3 linked regions of the Alligator mississippiensis genome follow. The protein of the gene in region 1 purifies or fractionates together with the protein of each later gene. This does not show direct contact. Links are inferred from orthologs where the notes say so. Each region holds a gene or a part of one and is shown in the gene's direction. Other genes may lie near its edges.

Region 1 (7,296 bases):
ATGGGGACAGGGGAGTACAATACAACTCTCCAGCACTGGAGCAGAGGGAGCCAGGGCTATGCCAGGCAGGGCTGACACCTGAGCGGCTCGGCCCCGCTTTGCACTGAAGCAGGCTTGACGTACCCATGGGGCAGGTGGGGTCTTGGTCTGGCCTTCCACCTGAGCAGCTCCAGTGCTAAGGGGGGCCGAGCTGCTCAGGTGGGACGTCAGACCCAGACCCCATTTGCCGGGCGGGGAAGTCAACCCCACACGTTCCTCCAGCAGCAGGGGGTATTTTGCCACCTCCCTAAAAAAACAGCAGATTTTTCCAAAGAGCAAGGAAAAACCTCATCTTCAGCTGACTCACCCTCTTTGTCCTGTCTAGGCTGCGAAACAGCAGAGTGACAGCTAACAGACAGCACAACCACTCAAAGAAAAGTTAGCTTCGAAGATGAAGACCTGCTAAAAAGGAGACAGGGAGGTTAACACCTGTGGGGTGGAGAACAAGGAGCTATTAAGATAGGTGACCTCCTCGGCTGCCAGAAGATTAATAGAACAGCTGCTGCAGTGTGATGGAGGAAGCAAATCAGAGGCAGAAAATACACACAGCCTAATTTTTTTTAGGGGGGAGTGCATGTTGTTTGCAAGAAAAGATGGTAGAAACATGAGAAAATACGGTATCTTCTTGACACTGGCCACGTCCCACTCAGCTGGGGCAAAGAGCACCAGCAAAACCAGAAGGAAAAGGATGTCAAGCCAAGCGTGAAGATACCATTAATTCTTTCACTACCTCAGATGAAGGCAGAGGCATGTTTTAGAAGCCCCACGTGCGACTGAATTCCTGCTGGGCACAGCTAACAGCCAGCCAGCTTATCACAGATAGCAACAAGGTAATGAACGCTTCAGAAACATATCACAAACCTCAACTTAGCGAGGGGGAAACTGAGGCAGGACTCGTAGACAATGAGGGTGGGAAGGGACCTCAGGAGGTCACATCCAGTCCAACCCCCTGCTCCAAGCAGGACCAGCCCCAACTACATCATCCCAGCCAAGGAAGAGATTGAAACACTTACCCCAGGAAGCGGGGACGTCCAAGGCAGGGTTAGAACCGGGGAGCGCCTAGCATCAGGCTGTGCTCCCCACCTTGCTGTCTGGGTAAGCACAGAGCGTCCTCAATGATCACCTTACACCGGCCTGGAGCATGCACTTTTCCTGTGGGGGATGCAATGCTGCAGCAGCAGCCCTCACGGCTTCGAGTGATTCACGGAGCAGGTCACCCCGACGAAGCAGAGTAGAAACTCCGTGCCCACTACTGCGAGGTGGCTCTAAAATAAAGCACGACCACAGGCGCCGTGGCTGAATCGTGAGCCTGACAACACATTTGTGAGACACGCCCCGCTCCACGCAGACATGCACACACTTGATCCCAATCCTGGAGCTGACGCAGCTTTCCCTCTGGCCAAGCGCAATTGCCCATCCTCAATGCAAAGGCAGCCAGAGGGCCAAGCTGGCTGTGCAGCTAATGATTAATAGATCTGAGGAGTATTTCCAGGGTGGCTTTTCAATGCAGAGATTTTTTTTTTGTCTATGCACTGCAAGGTTTTTTCCTCTACTCACCACCGCAGCAGCTGGAGCTCTGAGCCAGCAGCTTGCTGTGGGGGGTGGTCTGCTACAGTTCCCGGATTTCTTCTCTGCTGAAATCCTGCTCTGCCATCCTCCAGCCCCTCTTGCCACTGCCCTCCCACCCCATGCTGCCAGCTCCCCACCTTTGGCTGCCCCACACAGGTCAGGATCCAGGGCCCGACGTTTCCCTCTGGTCACCACGGTCTCTTGCCTCGCTCCCTTGGTCCTTCCAGCGCTGGACCTGACTCAGCACCAGCATTGCAGGCATGAGAACCGCTGTCTCTCCTGCTGCAGGGCTTTCCCTGTTTAAACCCCCCCCCAAGCCCCTCTCCCCATCCAAGACGCTGCGCCCTCCCTGACAGCATTGTGCGCTAATCCGATCTATGCATCAGAGCTCTAAGCCCGCAGGGATGGGCTGCAGTCATCCTAATATTCAGGGCTGTTTGCTCAGGTCTGTCGAGCTGAATGGAGCGTAGTAAAGCTTTACCCTTTCCCTCTCGCTGCTGGGGGTCCTCCCTGTGCCCCACAGCAGCAAACACTGCCCGTGAAACCCGCTGCATCCGAGTAGGTTTTGCATGATGCATGGAGGTGCTAGGGCTCCCGTCTACCCCGTACCAGCCCCGGGGCAACTCCCCTTCAAAGCTGGTGGGGACCAGACCAGAGAGGAGAGTGATTTAGGCAAGGAAAACAAGCCAGAGGAGAGCAGATGCATGCTGTCCTGTATCTGATGGGGCCACAGGGAAAGACATCCTTTGGGCTGCTGAAGAAGCAAAGTCATCAAGCTGGACAAACAGTTTAACCCCTCTGGGAGCGCTTCTCCCAATCTCAAGGAGAGGGTGGATCTGCTGAAGACTTTATCACTTTTATGTGATGCTGCAAGGAAGTGAGATGATAGGTGCATTGGAGATGGCGCAGCTCAATATTGCCAAGAAGCCTGAGAAAGCTCTGACAGCAGCCGCTCCTCAAACCGACCCTGCTACAGACACAGGCAATATGGACTAAGTCAGGGCCAGCATTAGCTGCCAAAGCAGCAACATCTGTCAACCCAAGTCCCCCGTGAGCATCCTGAACAGCCTGAGAGCGACCACAGCACCAAGGGTGAGCCCAGAGCAGCCAAAACCACTGCATGTCTAGCAGGGACGTGCCCCCAGGCTGCGGGCTGCAATTATCAACCTAGGCTGTCTGGACGCGGGAGCTGATGCCATCCTCATTCCCGAGCTGTCCAGGCCTGCCTGGGCCCATCTGAAGCTGCATCCAGCAAACCGTTGGCCCCGATCCCTGCCGGGATGCTGAGTGAACAGCTTCTGCGTGAGATGGCGCCTGCATGAGACAACCTGTCTACACTTAACCTTCCCCTCCGCCTGCTGTCCTCTCCCCTGAGCTGGAGCGAAGCAAAGCTGAGCAGGGCGAAGGCAGATGTGGGCTGTCCACTGCGGGTTCAGGGCTCCCTGCCCTGCTGCCCTTCCCTTGGGAGCCCCATGCTTGCCCGCCAGTGGCAGGGGGCACAAGTTGCTACCCCCACTGCTGCCGGGTGGGCAGGGGCCACGTGGCAAAGGAAAGGCAGCAGGGTGGGGAGCCCCAAGCCCGCAGCGGGCAGCCCGCATCCACCCTGTGCACAAATCTGGGGTGCACGTGCCCCCCCCATCCCGCTCCCATGCACCGCTCTGGCTTGGCAGCACCCCCAGCCCCTCACTGTGGGGGCCACAATCTGCCCCCCCCCCCCCATGCCCCTTTCCTCCACAGCCTGACCTGCCGGGCGCTGCTCTCCACGCCGCCCAGCCGCGCTCCTGGCCACGTGCACCTACACGTGGGCCCCCTGCGTCTCGCTCCCGGAGGCCCCAAGCAGGCTGGAGAGCTTCCCGCCTGCAAAGGGAAACCCCCTCACCCTCCCATTGCCCCGGGCGTGTGCGTTAACCCTCCTCCGGACGCGAGGAGGGTGAGGAGGAAGTCAATCGAGATTTATGAGCGACTCGTAATAAAAAAACTAGGCACATGAAATGAGGTGAAAACAACAGGAAGTTTGTTCCCCCCCCCAGGACTTCATCAATCACAGAAGCACAGACCACGGGGGCTGCAAGGGACCTCGGGGGGTCACGTCTAGCGCAACCCCTGCTGCAAGCAGGACCAGCCCCAACTGCATCATCCCAGCCCAGGCTTGGTCTACCCGGGTCTTCAGGATGGAGATCGCACCACCTCTCTGGGCAGCCAGTGTTTTACTACCCTCCTCGTGAGAGCTTTTCCTAATATCCAACCTCAACTTTCCTTGCTGCAGCTGGAGCCCATTGCTCCTCGTTCCCCCACTGGGAACGGTGCCGGTCCAGCCCGGGAGCCGGGCGCCCCTTGCCCCTTTTGGCAGCCTGGCTCCACGGGCGGCCTCGCAGAGCCGACCTGAACCCCCGGCCGATAAACCCCACGTGCCGGGGCCGGCGGGTTACAACCGGGGTCACCGACTCTGGTCCAGGGGGCTTCATCGCGCCACGTCAGGACGTGAACGACACCGAGCGCCGCTGCACGCGGCGCATCACGCGACGGCCGCATTTTAAAACCCGCCGGACTCCTGTACCCATGGCACCCCGCATTTCACACTCGTGCTCGTGAATGCCCGGCGCTGCACCTCCAGCTGTTGCTGTGCCGAGATGGGCAAGGGGAGGGCGCCCTGCCACTGCCGCGCGCTGCCCTTGGTCGCGTCCCCTGACGGCGCACCACGTGACGCGCCGGGACCCATGTGACGCGGCGGCGGCAACTTCGTCCCGGGTGCCTCCTCCGCGCAGGCGCGTGAAGGCGTCACTTCCGCGGTGGAACTCCCGCGCGGCGGCGGGAAGCAGCCGGGCTGCGGGTGAGTAGCGCGCTAGGGAAGGGAAGGGAAGGGAAGGGGGGGCACGCATATGTCACTTCCTCCCCCATTAAATCGCCCCTCCCCCACTACCCCTCCAAAGGACACCTCTCCCCCCAAAGTGACCTTGCCCCCCCAGCCCCCCATCTCCCTGCCCCTCCCCCATCTGCCCCCCCAAAGGGTGCCCCTCCCCCACCCCTAGGGCACCCCTCTGCCCCTCCCCCATCTGCCCCATTGCCCCGCAGGGGTCGGGCCGTACTCATCCCCCCGCCCCGGCGCCCCCCCAGGAGTCATGTCGACGCTGTTCCCGTCGCTGCTGCCACGGGTGACGGAGACGCTGTGGTTCAACCTGGACCGGCCGTGCGTGGACGAGAACGAGCTGCAGCAGCAGGAGCAGCAGCACCAGGCTTGGGTGAGCGCGGGGGGGGGCCGCTGCTCCCCTGCCCCGCGCCGCCCCCAGCCCGTCCAGGAGCGCCGGGTCGCGGCGCGATCTCTCCGTGCGGGGCCTCGGGGGCGACGAGTCGTCAGGAGGGCAGGGCTCGACCCCGCGCGGTCCTTGCTTGCCTGCCGCGCGGCGTGGTGAGCCGCGTGCCCCGTGCCGACGCCTCTCCCTCTTCTCCCCCCAGCTCCAGAGCATCGCGGAGAAAGACAATAACTTGGTGCCCATCGGGAAGCCGGCCTCGGAAGTAAGCGTCGCGTCCCGTCTCTCCGTGCTGCCGAGTTTCCCCTGTTCGGGGAGCACGAAGCCTTTGAGTTGCGGTGTTAACGCCTGCAGCGCGTCAGGCGTGTTATTTCCGTGCGCACACCTCTAGTGCGTGCTAGTGCAACAGATCGCACGCCTTCGTACCAAACAGCTGCTTTCCAAGGGCGTTTCCGGAGGGGCTGCTCGCACGTGGGTCCTTGGTGAGGCGGGGAGCAGGGTTGAGCTCCATTCGGTGGCTGCTCGAGTCTGCCCCAATGCCCTCCGCCGGCACATGGGACCTGCTGCCTGCCCCCGAGATGGGAGGGGAGCTCTTCTCCGCCCCCCTGCTCCAGTATGGACAGGAGGTCGTTCTGCCCCTGGGGGACCGTCCCCATGAGGAAAGGGGCAGTTGCGTCCCATTTCCCCGTGGGGTGAAGGGGGCATCTCTGCACCCTGACGAGACGTGGGCAGGTGATTGCAGGGTGGAACTAGAGGCCGTGGGAAACCTGCGGGTGCTGAGGGGTGGGTGAGGCCCGTGAGCTGGGCGTGGGTGCAGGGGTCCCTGGGCCGTGGGAGAGGGCTGGGCTCTGACCGCTGTGGTCGCCCCCATACCTACAGCACTACGACGAGGAGGAGGAGGAGGACGATGAAGATGACGAGGACAGTGAGGAGGACTCGGAAGATGACGAGGATATGCAGGACATGGACGAGATGAACGACTACAACGAGTCCCCGGATGATGGAGAGATCAACGAGGTACGTGAGGTGGGGCCAACTCAGCGTCCTCCCAGCGTGGGCAGGGGTCCTGCAGGGCGGCGGAGCACGTCCCCTTCCCCTGCCCTGCTGCCCTTCGCTCCCACAGGGCAGCGGGCTTCTGCTCATCCTGCTCTGGGTCTCCTGAGCCAGCCTTGGTCGCATTTACTGGGCTTTTCCCACGGTGAGGCAGCCTGCATAGAGCCCTCCCGGCTCTCCTTACAGGACCCCATCTTGGGGTACCTTGCCTCCCCCCTCCTGCTGACTATGCTTGCCTAAATGACAGGCGAACCCTGTCATCTGAGGTCATGTAGACCCTTGCCCATACAGCCATTGAGCCCAGACAGCCTTCCCCTCCCCCACCACATTGCAGTTCTCCCCAGGGTCCTTCCTGTCCCTGGGGTCCCTGTTAGCAGTGGGTTTGCTGGAGCCGAGGGAGCAGCTCCGTTGTTTCCTCTTTCCAAGGTGGACATGGAAGGAGCGGAGCAAGATCAAGACCAGTGGATGATCTGACGCAGCGGTGGCCTGGCCAAGCGGGAGGCTGCTGGCATCTGCTGCCTGAGACGCTGAAGGGTCGGGGGAGAACTCTTCCCCCAGCTTGGGGTGGGGGTTTCCAACAGGCCCCAGCTGCACGGGGCCCCGGAGGATGTGGTGGCACAAGTGTCATGGGAGCTAGATGCTGGCTGCATCCTGGGCTCTGCAGAGAGCCGACTGGAGGGAGGCTCGTGGTGCTGGCGCCTGGACCTATGCCCGGCCACTCCACACGGAGGCAGCGCTTGTTCCCCGCTGACCCTGCTGGGGTTGGAGGGGCAGTTGGCATGGGCCAGGCAGCAGGGCCTGGCTCTGAGTGGCCAGAAAACCCCATCCTAGAAGTGCTGGAGATCTTCTAATAAATTACTTTTTAAAGAAATGCCTTCCCGGTCTTTATTAGCAACATCAGAGCTCCAGGACTGCTGTGCAGGCCTTGCTGTGTGTTGTACGTAGCCAGTGAGACCATGTTTTCCCCTCTCCTGCAGCTCACAACCGACGGAGCTGTTCTGATGCTGAATTCTTCCCATAGCCTGCCCAGGGCTGGTTCCCACCACTCTCGTTATAATAATAATGCGGGGTTTCTAGCCTATGTGATCCATCAGGTTGATGTCCTGTTCTGTGGTGAATCAGAGCTGCTCAGCTGAGCCCCTAGGCACAGAGGGGCTAAGAGCGTTGCCCAAGGGGACTGGGCACAGTGATGCATGCTGGTGTTGGGGGAAGCACCCTGGGCACTGAGCAGCTCTCATGTAGAGTGGATCGTGGCAGCAGGGTTCGGGAAAACGGGGAGAGACCGAATGGTTCAAGTCGTGGTCAAAAAACACATCCTGGCTGCAGCTTCCTCCCTCGCCTTGGCCTACAGGTGAAGTGCTCCTGGCAGGGGCTGAAGGGATTTGTT
Region 2 (7,898 bases), on another chromosome or scaffold:
GTGCACAACTGTCTCTGCAGTTTTTTGTCCTGCAGGCAGAGTATTTAAAGCCAAGTCCCGCTCTCAAACCACTGACAAGCCTGATGATAAAAAAGGGAGGACAGGCAGAACACAGTGAAAGCACAACATGCATGGAAGGAAGAATAATGTGTACTGGGAGATTAGTGTAGGCCTCTGCATTCTGTTCTCTTAACCCCTTGCTGATGTCTTATCACGAGAGAGTAGCTGAGATGAAACCACACCTACCCTTAGGGACTTGTGCAGTTCTTGCCTCTGGGATGTCCTCGTAGCCTCGGGAATTTCTTTGAGCAGTCGGGCTTCTTCCAACCGCTTCACTGCCCTGTGGCAGAAACAAAATTATAATGATGAATCCCTGCACTTCCCTGCTGTAGGGCAGGGAACAGATCCTTTACCTTCCCTTCTGTCCCAGAGCTGGAGTCTTACAACCACTATTCAGGCTATATCTACACTCCTTCGTCTCTGCTGCTAGTGCTGAACCACCAGAGCATGTGCACACCAATCTGCTACTGGTAGCTCTGTGCAGCTCCGCTCTGCACCTGGGCTGCTGGAGCACGAAGTGTCCAGTGGAAAGACACTAGCTGCTGACTGAACTGCAGCTAAAAGCACAGTGGTGTCTGTAACCTCTTCAGCTGGCCGCTGGGTGTCAGCAAAAGCCTTACTCCATTTTGCAGAGGTGAAATGATTCTACCAACAGACAAAAAGGTTCTGCCACTGCAGAGAGGTATTGAGTGTGAGCTGGAGTTCTGCCAGCAAAACTCTGTGGCAAGACTCAAACTAAGCGCACAACCTCCAAGTCCAGTTACGCTCGGCTCTAGCCTTTGTTGCATGTCCAGTGTTGCCTCTTATCCTGAACCTCAAACGCCTGCACTGCCCATCATCTACTGAGTTCATTGCTCTTCAGAAAAGCTTGCACCTTCTTTCATTTTGCTTGCTTTACAGCCCCTTTCTTTACCTGGGGAGTGAGTAGTTGGCGATCCACAATCTAGCTGTTTTCAGACTGCTTGGCCCTTCATGGTACCAGGTTTGCTGATACTAAAAAAAAGAAAACAAACCAAACAAATTCAAGAACATCTTAGGACAAGAGCAGTCAAAGTCCAGCCTGCAGCAGACTCCATTTCCCAGCAACCCCGCCTGTACTGCTGTGGCCGGTTTCCATGGAGACCCCAGCAGCAGGGGCACTGTGACAGTGCAGCACGAGAGTTTCCATAGAGACTGCCTCTACCAGGGCTGGCAGGGCCCACAGTGCGGTGGTGGGAAGCTGCTTTGGGGCTGGGATTTTGCGGCAGTGACAGCATGGTCCAAAGCAGAGGCAGAGCTGTGATCCGCTACCTGTAAGCAAGGTTCCCTCTAAGGCGCGTGCATGTGCACAACTAAAAGTGTGGCCACGGACAGCCTTTTCAAGGCTGTGCACTGGGAGAGGCTGGGGCGCGAGCCTAACATGGGCTCCGCCGGCTCCAAGGAAGTGCTCCGCTCCCCCACATCAGGGCAGGGGAGCAGAGCACTTCCCTGGAGCTGGCGCAGCCTGCACCAGCCGCTCGCCCCAGCCTCCATCGATGCCTTGCCTCACTTTGGGGAGGAGCCACTGCCTGCCCTGAGTGAGGCTCTGCAGGCTCCGGGACACTGCTCCACTCCCCTGCATCGCCTCAGGGAGCAAGGAGGCACGTGGCATCGGTGCCGGGGTGTGAAGCAGTGTCCCGGAGCCTGCGGAGCCTCGCTCAGGGCAGGCAGCGGTTCCTCCCTAAGGTTAGGCAAGGCAGCGATGGAGGCTGGGACGGGGGACTGGTGCGGGCTCCGCCAGCTCCGGGGAAGTGCTCCACTCCCCGGCCCTGATGCAGGGGAGCAAAGCACTTCCTCGGAGCCAGGGAGTCTGCACCAGGCTCCGACTCCAGCCCCTGGCCCTCAGCCCCAGCCTCTGCCCCAGCCCCTGGCCCCCGGCTCCGGCCTCTGGCCCAGCCCCTGGCCCCTGGCTCCAGCCTCTGGCCCAGCCCCTGGGCCCCAGCTCCAGCCCCTGGCTCCCGGCTTCCAGCTCCAGCCTCCAGCCCTAGCCCCCAGCCCCCTCTGGTAAGTGTCCCATGCTAGGCCGAGGCGGCACACTCATGGACCGCTGCTCCTTAGAGGGAACACTGCCTGCAAGTCCCAGGCAGGGGCATACGTGCAATGGATTGTGGCTCTGCTCCAGCTCCAGACCACACTGTCATTACTGCAAGATCCCAGCCCTGGCTGCGGAGCAGCTCCCTGCCCTGCCACGCGCCCTACCAGCACTGCTGGGGCCAGTCTCCATGGAAACCCTGGCCCCGCGCTGTCACAGTGCCACCACTTCTGAGATAGCCATGGAAAACGGCTGTAGCAACATGGACAGGGGCTGCTGGGAAAAGAAGTCTGACCACTAGCCAGATCCACCATTTTGCCCACCCCTGCCTTAGGATGTCACTGTCCTATAAGTCGTATACTGATAAGTCCACCTTACACTATCAGGCTGTCTAATGATACCAAAAAATCAATGTCAGAGCTCTGGAAATGTTACAGATGGTCCATGAAGGAATTTGAAGGTTTCTATAAAATGGTCTCCTTCTCTCTACATTAATAACCTGCAGAATCCAAGAATGGGAGAGATGTTTACCTCTTCTTTGGCTTTCTTAGACTTGTCGTCATCTTTCTTCGTTTTTTTTAAGGCATCAGTGCCAACCACCGAGAGGATATTTCTCAATCTGAAATGAAACACACCAAGCATTAAATAAGATTCAGTCAATAACTTCTCAGGCATTCTTGACCATGTCTGACAGATGTAAAGAGTGAATGAAGAAGAAATTGATCAGTTGCTGTTATATCACTGAGAAGGAACAGTGGGCAACAGCATTCAGTGCACTCAACAGCTCAAGGAGTTTTACAAGAGATTTATGATTTGGTTACAGGGCAGGCCACACAAAGGACAAGACACAGCACCTTTCTCTTCTTTCTGCAGGCCCTTCTCCAAAGAGTGTGATGGGCTCCCCAAGAGCTCGTAAGCAGGCCTTGACTTCAGAGTCATCGGTGGAAACATTGATTTGCCTAGCACGCTTCCTGCGCTCAAATTCAGCCAACACTTCTGCCTGGCGCTCACTCATATGGTCTTCAAGATCGAAGACCTCACCTATGCCAGAAACAAAGCCATCAAATTGAAGCAATGACAACTGCACCAGAGACTTAGACAACTATAACCATTAAAAGCTATAAATATTTTTGCCCATTTAGGGTAGGGACGGTCAGTGCTGGCAATGGACTTCCCACCCCCATTCAAATCATGATGGAATACTGGATGGCTTGTAGTCTCTGCAGCCAAAATTTCTGTATTAAAACACAGCAGCAGATCAGGGGCTGTCCTAAAGCCCTGAGCTGAACCCCAACAAAAATGTCTTTTTAAATATCTCTAAGCCAGAAGCAAGAAAAGAAGCTGAAAGCACTATACAGAGTGTGTTCTTACCACTGCTAATGTTAATGTTGCCAGCCTGAATTGCAGCTTTCATCCCATCTTTTCCTAGCAGCCCCAGCTCCCCTTTGGCAATACGCTCCCTTTCCTTCTCCTCCAAACTTCCATAGAAGATATGAGGTCTCTTGACTGGGGGAGCATCACTCTCGTCTGAGATCTTGGTTTTTGTTGCCTACAAAATAAAAGCAAGATTTTAACAGACTGGTTCAGTATGTATCCGGCTTGGGAGCAGCAATTCAGCAAACTGCTTTGGCTGCACAAATCATTCAGGGTTTCTGGTCTACCCAGACCAGAAACCCTGAAATTATACCTAGAACATTAGCTCTGAACAGGGAAGGGATTCCTCAACACAAATTATGCTTAAGGAAACCGGGCAGGGATTTCTTTATTTATGCCTCTTTACAACGTGTAAAAATATATCCCAGACTTGCTTTCCGATGCACTCATATCAATTTGTGCTTAACAACAGCACATATCCCTTCAACTTTTAGGGAGTAAACACAAGGTTGGGCAGCAAGTCAAAAATAAAGGCACAAAAATCCAACCCTGTTGTAAGTTACTAGCAAATTTCCCAGCAACTGCAATGCTGCCAGGGTATGATCCCAAATTTATAACGGGATGTTTCAACTTTAAGTCTAAAGTCATACAAAACGAGGGTTGGAACAGGCCTCAGGTTACCCAGAGACGTCGTCTGCATCCTTAGAGGTTTCTAAGACCCAGGTAGACAAAGCCTTGGCTGGGACGGTAGAGTTGGAGATGGTCCTGCTTTGAGCAGAGGGTTGGACTAGATGTGACCTCCTGAGGTCCCCTCCAACCCTCGTTTTCCGATTTTATCCAGTCCAGCCCCCTGCCTGAAGCAGGGCCCCCCTCAACTGGATCATCCCAGCCAACCCTTTGTCTACCTGAGTCTTAAAACCTGCTGCAGGGATACAACTGATCGACGTGTTCACAACCACCGGTGTTACGCAGCACTCCCGTGCACCCCTCCGCTGCGGTGATTCTCACCCAGGGACCAGGGGCCATGGCCCTGCCGGGGGCATTCAGATCCCTTCCAGGACCTCGGGGAGCCGGCGCCGGGCGGACCCGGGCAAGAAGCAGATTTCACGGGGTGGGCCCGCGCCGCCCACAATCAGGGACAAGGAGAAACGCCAACTCCCTCCCCCCGCTCTGGGCCCGGTGCACGCAACGAGAGACCCCGCATCGCATAGCCCAGCCCGGCCCGGCCCCAACCGCGCCCCGATCCCCCGAGCCCCGCTTCACCCGCACCGCAGGGCCCCGCGCGGACGCCATGGCGACGGCAACACCGGCCGCTGCAGGGACTCTCCGCACTACGGGCCTGTCTTCACCCAACTGGTTCCGGGTTGCCGCGCGGGGCATGCCGGGAGGCGCCGGCCGGAAGTGAGCGCAGGGTATGCCGGGAGGCGCCGGCCGGAAGTGGGCAGGTTTGCGGCAGCGGTCGGGGCCGGGCTGTCCGGTTGCCGGCGAGAGGCGGCGGGGCCGGTGGCGCTCGCGATGCTGCGGCGGAAGCCGACGCGCCTGGAGCTGAAGCTAGACGACATCGAGGAGTTCGAGAGCATCAGGAAGGACCTCGAGGTGAGGCGCGTCGAGACCCGGCCGCACTCGGCGCTCCCGTCCCAGGGGCCGCCGCGGCCGGGGCCGCCTGCCGTGCGCGGGGCGTCCCGGGGAGCTCCGCCGCCGTGCGGAGGCGAGAAAGACAAGTCTGCGGATGACACCAAGCGGGGGGAGTAGTGGGTACACTGGAGTGCAGGGCTGGGGTTCAGAGGGACCGAGACAACCCGGAGGACTGGGCCCAGAGGAATCTCATGGGGTTCAACAAGGACAAGTGCAAAGTCCTGCACTTAAGACGGAGCAATCCCGTGCACCGGGACAGGCCGGGGGTGACTGGCTGGGTAGCAGCTCTGCAGAAAAGGACCTGGGCGTTACAGTGGACTATGGATAATAGTGGACAGTGGACAGTAAGCTGGATATGAGCCAGCAGAGTGCCCTTGTTCTGAAGAAGGCTAATGGCATACTGGGCTGCACTGGTAGGTGTGTTGCCAGCAGGTCAAGGGAAGTGATTATTCTTCTCTGTTTGGCACTGGTGAGGCCACATCTGGAGCACTGTGTCCAGTTTTGCCCCCCCCCCCCCCCCCCCCCCCAACTATAGAAAGGATGTGGACAAATTGGAGAGAGTCCAGCAGAGGGCAGCAACAATGGCTCAGGGGCTGGGACATGACTTATGGAAAGGCTGAGGGCACTGGCCTTATTTTCGTCTGGAGAAGGGAAGATTGAGAGAGGATTTAATAGCAGCCTTCAGCTACTGGCAGGATGATCACAAAGAGGATGGAACTTGACCAGGGTGGGCAAACTGCCGGCCAGCCAGTTGATTGGATCCAGCCTGTGGCTGCCCCTGCAGTGCTCCACATGGAGCCTGGCTCGACTTGTTCTCCTGCCCAGGGCAGCCTACATCTGCCAACGGCCCCAGCCAGCGCACAGTTTCCTGGCGGGGCTGCTCCCACACCTCCAGTGGTTCCTCCTCCTGCCCCTGCTGCACCACTCCAGGCTGGAGGGACTCTGCAGCCAGGCAGCTCCTTCCCCAGCATGCTGACCTCCAGCTCCCAGCCATCTTCTGTCCACTCGGCCACCCAGAGGTGGCTGCTCATGTCTGTTCATCACACTGGGCAGGCAGAGTGGGTGGAAGGTGCACTGGGGCAGGAGCCTCCTGGCTGCAGCTCTTCCCCACCACTCTCCTCTCCCGGCGCATATGGCAGGAGAAGGAGGAGGAGCTGCTGGAGGTGTGGGGGAGACCAAGCAATACCTAAACAGCTGCAGCCCTGCCGGGAAGCTGTGCATGTTGGGGAAGCTGTGCATGCTGGCTGGAGCCAGCAGGTGCAGATGGGACTGCCCCAGGCAGGGCTCAGCCCCATGTGGAGCACCGCAGGGGCATCTGCGGCTTGGGTGTGGGGTTGGGAGTAGCTGACCACACCTGCATCTGCACCACCTGGCTGAGCTCTGCTGCACCTGCCCCTAGCCCCCCACCTTTGCCCAGCTCCCAGGACCTAGCAACTAGGCAGCTCCTCACACCCCCCTGCCCTCTGCCACATACACACACACTGCCTCCCTACCCCCCACAATATACTAGAGTAAGACTGTATTTTAGGGGTGCACTGATAGAGATTTTTGGGGCTGATACTGATAGCCAATTTTTAAGAAGACATATTAGCAAATACCACTTTGATTTCCAAAACAGCTGTGTGCAGCTGGTAAGTCTGTTGTGGTGGAAGGGGTGGGGGAGGGGAAGGCAAGTGGGGGTGCAGATGAAGGCCCCTGCAGTGAGGGAGGGAGTGGGGGTGGGGCAGGCACTGCCCAGCTGGGGCGGGGTGGGGTGGGGCACAGGATGGAGCTGCAGGTCATCTGGTGGGGGCAGCTCCCACTGCTGCGCGCACCCCTGGAGGACACAGGGGTGGGGGCGTGTGCCTTGAGGGGCAAGGAGGGGCAGGGTACAGCACTGGGCTCTTCCCAGCAGGGGTGTGGACTGGGCTGTGGGTGGTGGTGGCGGTGGGAGGGGGCTGGAGGGGCTGCAGCCACCCCGAAATTTGCTGTAGTCCCCGCCATAGCCCCCTCCCAGTGCTACTGCCCACCCTGAATGCAGCCTGGCCCAGCCCTGGCCCACCCTTCTCTGCACAGATAAGGGGGCACACCCCCCCATGCCCTCCTGGACGAGTGACGGGAGCAGCAGCTGGAGCCACCGGATGAGCGGCTCCCGGATGAGCAGTGTGCAGGGCAGGAGCCACTCCCCCCTTCCCATGCCCGTGCCCCGCCCCTCCCTGCCTCCCCCCCCAGCTGTGACTCTGTGCCATACCCTCCCCCTTCTCCCCACCCTGCCCCCAGGCTGGGAAGCATCTTCCCCAGTCTCACTCCCTCCCTCACCAGAGGGGCCTTGATCTGCCCCGGTCTCCACTCCCCTTCCACTACAAGAGACTTACCAGCTGCAACTGCCCGGGGCTGTGTTCCTCACTGCCTATGTGTTGTGCTATGGCTGCGCGCATACAAGGGCCATTTATTACCCACAAAAGGCTGATTTCCGATATAGACAATTTTCTTGATATTGGTGCCGATCCAATATCAGACCAATGTATTGATTCACCTCTACTGTATTTTGAGCTATTATGCAGTTGCCTCTATATATGCTACTCAAAAAACATAAACGAAGACAAAAAATATTTTTTAAATAAAATTAAAATATGCTTTAGATATTTGATTTTTAGTATAATTTTGTTTTTTATTTATAATTTGTTAAAATTATATATTCTAAAAGATTTTAGGTGTGCAACCCTTGACAGCTCAGCAGAAGTCATTAAGTGGCCCTCCAGCCAAAATCATTGCCCACTCCTGAACTAGACTGTTCTCA
Region 3 (7,262 bases), about 240 Mb from region 1:
TGGGGGAGGGAATATGAGATGTTCCCTTTTAATGGAGGCTGCTTGGCATGGCAGCTTATTGTGGCTAGAAGGGCCAATTGCTTGATGAAAAAAAACTTGTACTCTTAAAGATGACTAGGTTCTTTAAAGGGATGACATAAGACTAGTTCAATATGGCTGTGAATTAGTGATGTAGTGACACTAGGGTCATTTTCAGTGATCTGGACATTACAGGGAAACTGAGACTGCAAATACGAATTTAGAATAGAAATGAGACTTTGAACTGCAAAAGAGAAATCATTATTATACATATTTATTTCTAATTCTTCCATCCACTTGTGGACTGTGGCCAGGGGCTGCTCAGTTAGGGGTTACCTGTAAACACCTTCTTCTGAAGCCCCCTCTACATGTTACAGGTATTGTGCAATTACTTTGATACCAGCTACACCTGCAAAGTAGTTATAATACACAATAAAAAGCTCCAACCAACTATAAAGTTAGACCTTGAAAATGTGTACAACTTTACAGCTGGTTGCTATCTAGCTTTAATTTGCATGTGTAAGCAGGGTCTCCCCTGCAGCTGGGAATCCTCTCAGCTGACAGACCTCCCAGCCACAGGGTTGCACCTTGCCTACTGTGAAACCCCCAGGCATGGGGGATTGTGGCTGCCTTGGTCCCCTGGGCCTGGGGGATTGCGGCAGCTGCAGTCTGCTGGGCCCAGGGGTGCATGGGGTTCCCTCACATTGTGGGTAGCCAGTTCACAATATAGTAACCAACTGGTCACTCTTATTTGTTTCATAACTGGGGAGATCAACTTCCAAAGAAATGGAAGGGAAGTGGCTTGCAGGCCAAAAGGTTGGAGGTAGAGGAGCTTCGCCCATCCTGTTTTCAGGGGCAGAATGTGTATCTGAGAATCCCAACTAGATAGTAGGCTTGAGACTTCTGCATTATGCCTGATTTACTTTCTCCCAGTAAACCCAGATGGCAGAGCATTCTTTCTGCATTGAGAAGTGCCCAGGTTCTGCCGCAGCAGCTCCTGTGCAATACCTCCCTGGATACCACGGTACAGACATGCCCAAGCTCCCTTACTTCTTGGAGATCCCTATCTCTCTTCTCTTTGAACAGCTGCCATTGCTCCTACCTCTACATCCCAGTAGTGGCAGCTGAGTTCCACCCTGAGCAAAACCTGCCACTATGGTGACAACACCAAGACAGAGAGCCCCGCTGCCTTGGTGAAAGCTGAGTGATAGCTTCCCTCTTCCAAGGCTGGTTCCCTGCTCTAATAATAACAGCAAAGGCACCCTGCCCCCTCATCCCAGGGGTGGATCCAGAGGGGGTGCAGTAGGGTGACTACATCCCTCTTTTGGACTGGATTGTGCTGCTGGAGCCTCTGGGGACTTCTTTTTAAGTGGACGAGAATCCTCCGTTCTCCTCCAGAGTCAGAGGCACATCTCCTCTCTTCCCCTTCCTCTGTTCCCCACCTGTCCTGCTCCTATTTCCACTTCCTGGGGAGGGGGTGGGGGGGGGTGAAATCTTCAGAGCTGATCCTACTCATTCCAACTGGGCTGCAGGGGAGAGGGGGAGGACAGGGGGCAGCCACAGTGCCTACTCCTGGGGGGAATGGGCAGAGTGGAGGAACCTAGCCCCTTCCTGTTGCTGCACTGTACCCAGCACAGAAGCATCCCCAGCTCTGGAACAAATGGGAAAACTGCAGTGACTGGGAAGGGGAGGGGAGGGCACCTGCCTTAGAGCATGCAGAGAAAAATCAGGGATGCTTACATGTTTGGGAACTTAAAAAAAGTCCTCAGAAGCTCTTGTAGGGTGGTGTGTCTGTACCAGTGGCTTCACATCCCACCTGCCTCCAAGCTGCCTCCCCCACTGTCAGTGACACGGGCAGCGTGGATGGCTCTGCCCCACACCCCTATACCTAACCACAGGGCCATTAGCATGCCTGGGCATTGCCTTACCCTGGGGCAGGGGCCTCCTGCCACAGCATCACTGTCCTCCATCTCCACCTCCATGGCGAAAGCCAGGTGGCAGCAGCAGGTCCCTTCCCTCTGGGCCACTGATACACTGCCAGGAGCTCTGCAGCAGGTCTAGTGTTGCCAGGTCTTAAGTATGAAATTATTGTATTTACTGAAAAACTACCATACACTGAAAAAAATTGCAAATGAATATACAAATAAGCCTTCTTATTTACTTTATATTGCTCATTGTAAGTCACCATGAGAACTGGGCCATCCAACTGGAAGCATTTCTTTATTTTGAGGTAAGCTGTCATAAGAAAATGCTGACAGCAAACCCAAAGGCCTGTTAAGACTCCTTGCAAGTGACTTGGGTTTTGAATATGCTGTCAATGAGCTGCCGCAAAAATAGGTACATTCTGAACACATTTTCTATTATTGATTGTCAGGGATCCTGGCTTTCTCTGAAAAAAAATCCCCAATTTCCAGTTTAAAAAAGTAACCCCAAATCCACGTTTCCATGATTAATATGGAATGCCTCTAATATATTGCAACAAGGTTCTTTGGGTAAAGCTGCTATTTCTTATTAGACCAACTCAAATAGTTGGAAAAAATTCTTGCTTCCTCAGCCTTACAAAGGTCTTGCTTGACCAATCTCATTTCCTTTTACGACCAGGTGACCTATCACCTGGACAAGGGGGAAGAGATTGGTGTCGTATATCCTGACTTTAAAAAAGCCTTTGATCTGGTATCCCAAGATCACCTCTTGGCAAAACTGGCTAGCTGTGGACTCAACCTCACCATGATCCACTGGCTGGGGAATTGGCTCTGCAGTAGGACCCAGAGGGTGGTGGTTGACAGAAGCCAATTGTCACAGTGCCCTGTGACCAGTGGGGTCCCTCAAGGCTCTGTCCTAGGGCCTCTACTGTTTAACATCTTTATCAGTGATGTAGACACTGGTGTCAGAAGCAGACTGGCCAAGTTCGCCAATGACACCAAACTCTGGGGTAAAGCATCCACACCTGAGGACAGGAGGGTGATCCAGGCAGATCTTGACAGGCTCATGAAATGGGCAGATGAGAACCTGATGGTGTTCAACACCCAAAAATGCAAGGTTCTCCACCTTGGGAGGAAAAACCTGCAGCATGCTTATAGGCTCGGCAGTGCTACGCTGGTTAGCACTACAGATGAAAGGGACTTGGCGGTCATGATTGACCACAAGATGAACATGAGCCTTAATGTGACGCTGCAGCTAGTAAAGCAAGCAAAATGCTGGCTTGCATCCATAGATGCTTCTCAAGCAAATCCCAGGACGTCATTCTCCTCTTGTACTCAGCCTTGATGAGGCCGCAGCTGGAGTACTGTGTCCAGTTTTGGGCTCCACAATTCAAAAAGGATGTGGAGAAGCTTGAGAGAGTCCAGAGAAGAACCACGCGCATGATCAGAGGTCAGGAAAACAGATCTTACGACGACAGGCTAAGAGCCATAGGACTCTTCAGCCTGGAAGAGTGCAGGCTCAGGGGCGATCTGATGGCCACCTATAAGTTTATCAGGGGTGCTCATCAGGATCTGGGGGAATGTCTGTTCACCAGAGTGCCCCAAGGGATGATAAGGTCGAACGGTCACAAACTCCGCTGGACCGTTTCAGGCTGGACATAAGGAAGAACTTTACTGCTTGAGCCCCCAAGGTTTGGAATAGACTGTCGTCGGGGGTGGTTCAACCACCTACTCTGAAAGCCTTCAAGACACATTTGGATGCTTATCTTGCTGGGATCCTATGATCCCTGCTGACTTCCTGCCCCTGGGTCAGGGGGCTAGCCTCGATGATCCTCCAGGGTCCCTTCCAGCTCAGCCCGAATGTCCGTGAAATCTATTAAATCTATGAAATACCCGAAAGCTTGCAAAGAATTTTTTTTCCAACTGCCTGAGTTGGTCTAATAAAAGATATTAGATTTACCCAAAGAGTCTTGTCTGCCTATGTCCTTAGACCAACACGGCTACAACCTACACAACTTATATAGCGAGAGAGAGAGTGGTGTTTCATTTTAGTCACGGAAAAATGTGGATGTGGGGTGTTTGTTTTTTTAAATCCGAAATGGGTTGGGTTTTTTTTAAGCAGAGAAAACCAGGGTCCCTGTTAATCATACATGGTGCGAAGGCTGAAGTGATGGCACCAACACCATCATTATGGTACATCCGTCTTGTCCCCTCCTCCCGGCCGTACCCCGCTGCCGCGACAACAGCCCGGAGGTCTCCCGCCCCCCGCCGCGGTGACGCAGCCTGCGAGCCGAGGAGGGTGGTGGGAATTCCAAGATGGCCGCGCCCGCGTGAGGCGCCGCTGGGGCTTGCGCTGCGCTCTGCGGAAGGAGCCCCGGTCCCGCTGCCGCCGCGCGCCCGCCCTCCCCCCGCCCCTCCTTTTTCCTGTGGCAGGCAGGTTCGTGCGCGCCCGAGCGCGTATGGGTAGCGGTCCCGGACACCTCACCGGGAGCTCAGGAAAGGGTCCCTCCAAAGCGGGGTTGGGCCAGGGCGGAGGCTTTTCTGTGGCCTCACTGTACAGTGGTTGGGAGGACAGAGCTGTGGGAAGGGTGGGACCGGTAAGGAGCTTGGCAGACAGTGCTGGAATCGCTGCTATCCTGGTGGTTTTCTTTGTGAAAACCTGGGACGCTTGGCTCAGGCTTCAGGAGAAATAGGAATAAGTGAGCAAGTCAGCTGGCAAGCAGAACTGTACACTACAGAACCTTGAAGAGCCTTGAAATGTGTTTCCCCGTATTTCTTTTTCTTGAAAATCCATGTTTACATGCAAAGGTTTTTTGTTGTGAACTGCTAAATATTACCTAGGTGATTTGCATGACATCGGAGGCGTGACTGGCACTGATGACTGTTTTGTCTTGGATTCAGAAATAATGTTGATATTTGGAACCCATGTCGAACAAGCATGAAGAGAGGGCAACGATGATTGCAGCCGGGGATTTGCAGGAGTTTGTTCCTTTTGGCCGTGACTACTGCAGGCACCACCCTAATGCCCTGAACCTTCAGCTGCGGGAGCTGCAGCCAGCTTCTGAGCTATGGTCCTCTGATGGAGCTGCTGGCCTTGTGGGATCTTTTCAGGAGGTGACAATCCACGAAAAACAGAAGGTAGAGTTGGACTTACTGATTAAACAATTATTCTGATGATTAAACCTAATGAGCTTGAAGAAAAAAACTTTTCATTAACTATTTGAACTATACGTACTAAAATACATAATATATGTACTAATATATGCTTAAACTCCAAATATTGAGGAACTCCCTCCAAAGAGCAAATAGGATAGCTGTATGTATTTGTTTAGGAAACGCATGTAAAAATATAGATAGTACATTTTACTGCACTGTTTCTCATTGCAGTGATGTGCTCTGGTTCAGCACAGTTGTTACATTTCTGTCTAGCCATGTGTAGTCACATGGGTTTCATTGATCTGGCTTCTACAAACAAGCTGCTGCAGTAACTACATCCACCCTATGAAGAAAAGGACAAAAGGGCAAGTTTACATACAAAAGCTATACCACATTAACTATTAGTATAAGAACACACTTCTGATGGGGATGCAGTTCTTCAGCTACAAGGCACAGATATAAACATGTCTACATTAGATTTTATACTGAGTTAATTAAAACTGTGAGGGAGAAGGGAAGTAAAAAATGGCAAAAATCAGTTTACATTTGTGCCAGGTAAATTAGCGAATGATGCAATTATTTCAGTGAGATGTCCAGTGGAAAAGTACAGAGAAGACGGGAAGAATTTTCACCTGGTGTTTGTTAACGTGGAAGAAGCACGTGACCATGTATCTATTAAGAGAAGTGGTGTGATATATGAGGGAACAACTAGTACTAGAGCTGTGTGAGGGTTGTGCAAAATGAGTGTAGAGGCTCAAAACCACAAATTAGAAGCGCACACTGGAAGGCGGGATTTCCCAGTCGAGGTTGGGGTTTGTCAAGGGTCAGCACTATGCCTGTTTTTTGTTTGCATTAGTTCTTGATATGTTCACCAGGAGCATTCAGAAGGATGACGTTGCATAATGTTTGTAGACTACGTGGTCGGTTTTGCAAAAGGCAGAGAATGATTTGAGCAGGGGGAGGGACATCCTGAAAAGGCATAGTCTATGGATCAGCAGAGAAAAATATGGAATACATGTCATGCACTTATTCAGGGAGTGCACCCCTGGGATTGGATGACCCACACACCTGCATATACGTTCAAGTACCCGAGCGCCATTGTGGAAAAAATAGAGACAGATGAGAAAATTAAGAACAGAATAAATAAAGGATAAAGTGGGGTTGGTTACCATGACTTACGATGTAAATTTTTTCTTCCAGATTAATTGGCATTTTTCTAAGAGTGGCAAGGCCAGTGCTATTGTATAGATCAGTGCTGGCCAACAAAGAAACAATAGTCGTCCATGATATGGGTGATGGAGATGAGGATGCTGATGTAGATTTATGTAGCCAGTAGGAAAGACTAAGAAAGGGAGAGAAATGATGACAGGCAAAGGTGACATCAAAGTGGGGACACACTTGGAGTAAGAACAGTGAGACTGATTTAATGGTTTTGATAGAAAGTGATGTTCCTAACCTACCATTAGATTAGTATGAAAATTGTGTGTAGGACAGGCCCCAAATAGTTCCCCCCACAGCAGCAATCTTACTTGTAATGATGCCTACTCCATTCCCTCCCTCCTACTTTGATGTATTCCATAACTGATTGTGAAACCCTAATACACAGATAAAATGTTGTACAATCAGGTGGGCAAAAGCTTTATGCCATCACAGGTGGCTGCGAAGTGTAAGATTCTATCTAAAGGAACAAAAAAATACTGCTTCTGACATCGTCCGTTTCTGCAAATTATGGATTAATCTTTTTTGTTTTTGTTTTTGTTAGTTTTTTGCATGTAAAAGAAGCAAAGCTTTTTTCTATTTTTGTCTGTCAGAATCTAGCTGGACATGTGTAATGTTTACAGCTATTCATAATCCATGATTTGAGATGTGTATGCATGAGTTTGTATGCAGCTGGGAAGGAATGTACCTCTGGTAAACCAAGCCCTTGGGTATCAGATAGAAGAGTGTTCCAGCACTCTAACTATAATATAACTGCGTTGTTCTCTTGGTTGGGAAAATATTGTGAGAGGGTAGTAAGGAAATAAGTCTGAGCATTTCATAATTGGTGCATATATCAGCAATCTCTGCAAACAAGCAGAAGAGCAAACAGGCATGGAGACCCCCCTCCTGCCCCCCCTTCTAAAAGAGGTTTCTAGGGCTGGTAGAGACGAGCTGGAAAGGAAAGCT

What was found. The genes of interacting proteins can lie anywhere in the genome.
Region 2: the proteins of ANAPC15 (region 1) and CDC26 purify together in Homo sapiens (affinity purification with mass spectrometry; 3 studies listed by BioGRID and IntAct, with this or other methods). This does not show direct contact. The link is inferred for Alligator mississippiensis from reciprocal best matches to the Homo sapiens genes ANAPC15 and CDC26.
Region 3: the proteins of ANAPC15 (region 1) and ANAPC1 purify together in Homo sapiens (affinity purification with mass spectrometry; 3 studies listed by BioGRID and IntAct, with this or other methods). This does not show direct contact. The link is inferred for Alligator mississippiensis from reciprocal best matches to the Homo sapiens genes ANAPC15 and ANAPC1.

What each region holds. Positions count from the first base shown.
Region 1 is NC_081824.1:477,729,491-477,736,786, reverse strand, and holds ANAPC15 (anaphase-promoting complex subunit 15), read left to right. Parts: upstream 1-4,356; 5' UTR 4,357-4,438; intron 4,439-4,722; 5' UTR 4,723-4,727; coding exon 4,728-4,847; intron 4,848-5,061; coding exon 5,062-5,121; intron 5,122-5,735; coding exon 5,736-5,873; intron 5,874-6,335; coding exon 6,336-6,383; 3' UTR 6,384-6,780; downstream 6,781-7,296. UniProt on the Homo sapiens protein: Component of the anaphase promoting complex/cyclosome (APC/C), a cell cycle-regulated E3 ubiquitin ligase that controls progression through mitosis and the G1 phase of the cell cycle.
Region 2 is NC_081835.1:49,102,249-49,110,146, forward strand, and holds the start of CDC26 (anaphase-promoting complex subunit CDC26), read left to right. Parts: upstream 1-4,892; 5' UTR 4,893-4,999; coding exon 5,000-5,080; intron 5,081-7,898. Other genes in the region: PRPF4 (U4/U6 small nuclear ribonucleoprotein Prp4), read right to left, coding at 247-340, 974-1,053, 2,642-2,729, 2,965-3,151, 3,482-3,659, 4,748-4,864. UniProt on the Homo sapiens protein: Component of the anaphase promoting complex/cyclosome (APC/C), a cell cycle-regulated E3 ubiquitin ligase that controls progression through mitosis and the G1 phase of the cell cycle.
Region 3 is NC_081824.1:237,110,626-237,117,887, forward strand, and holds the start of ANAPC1 (anaphase-promoting complex subunit 1), read left to right. Parts: upstream 1-4,256; 5' UTR 4,257-4,377; intron 4,378-4,841; 5' UTR 4,842-4,865; coding exon 4,866-5,078; intron 5,079-7,262. UniProt on the Homo sapiens protein: Component of the anaphase promoting complex/cyclosome (APC/C), a cell cycle-regulated E3 ubiquitin ligase that controls progression through mitosis and the G1 phase of the cell cycle.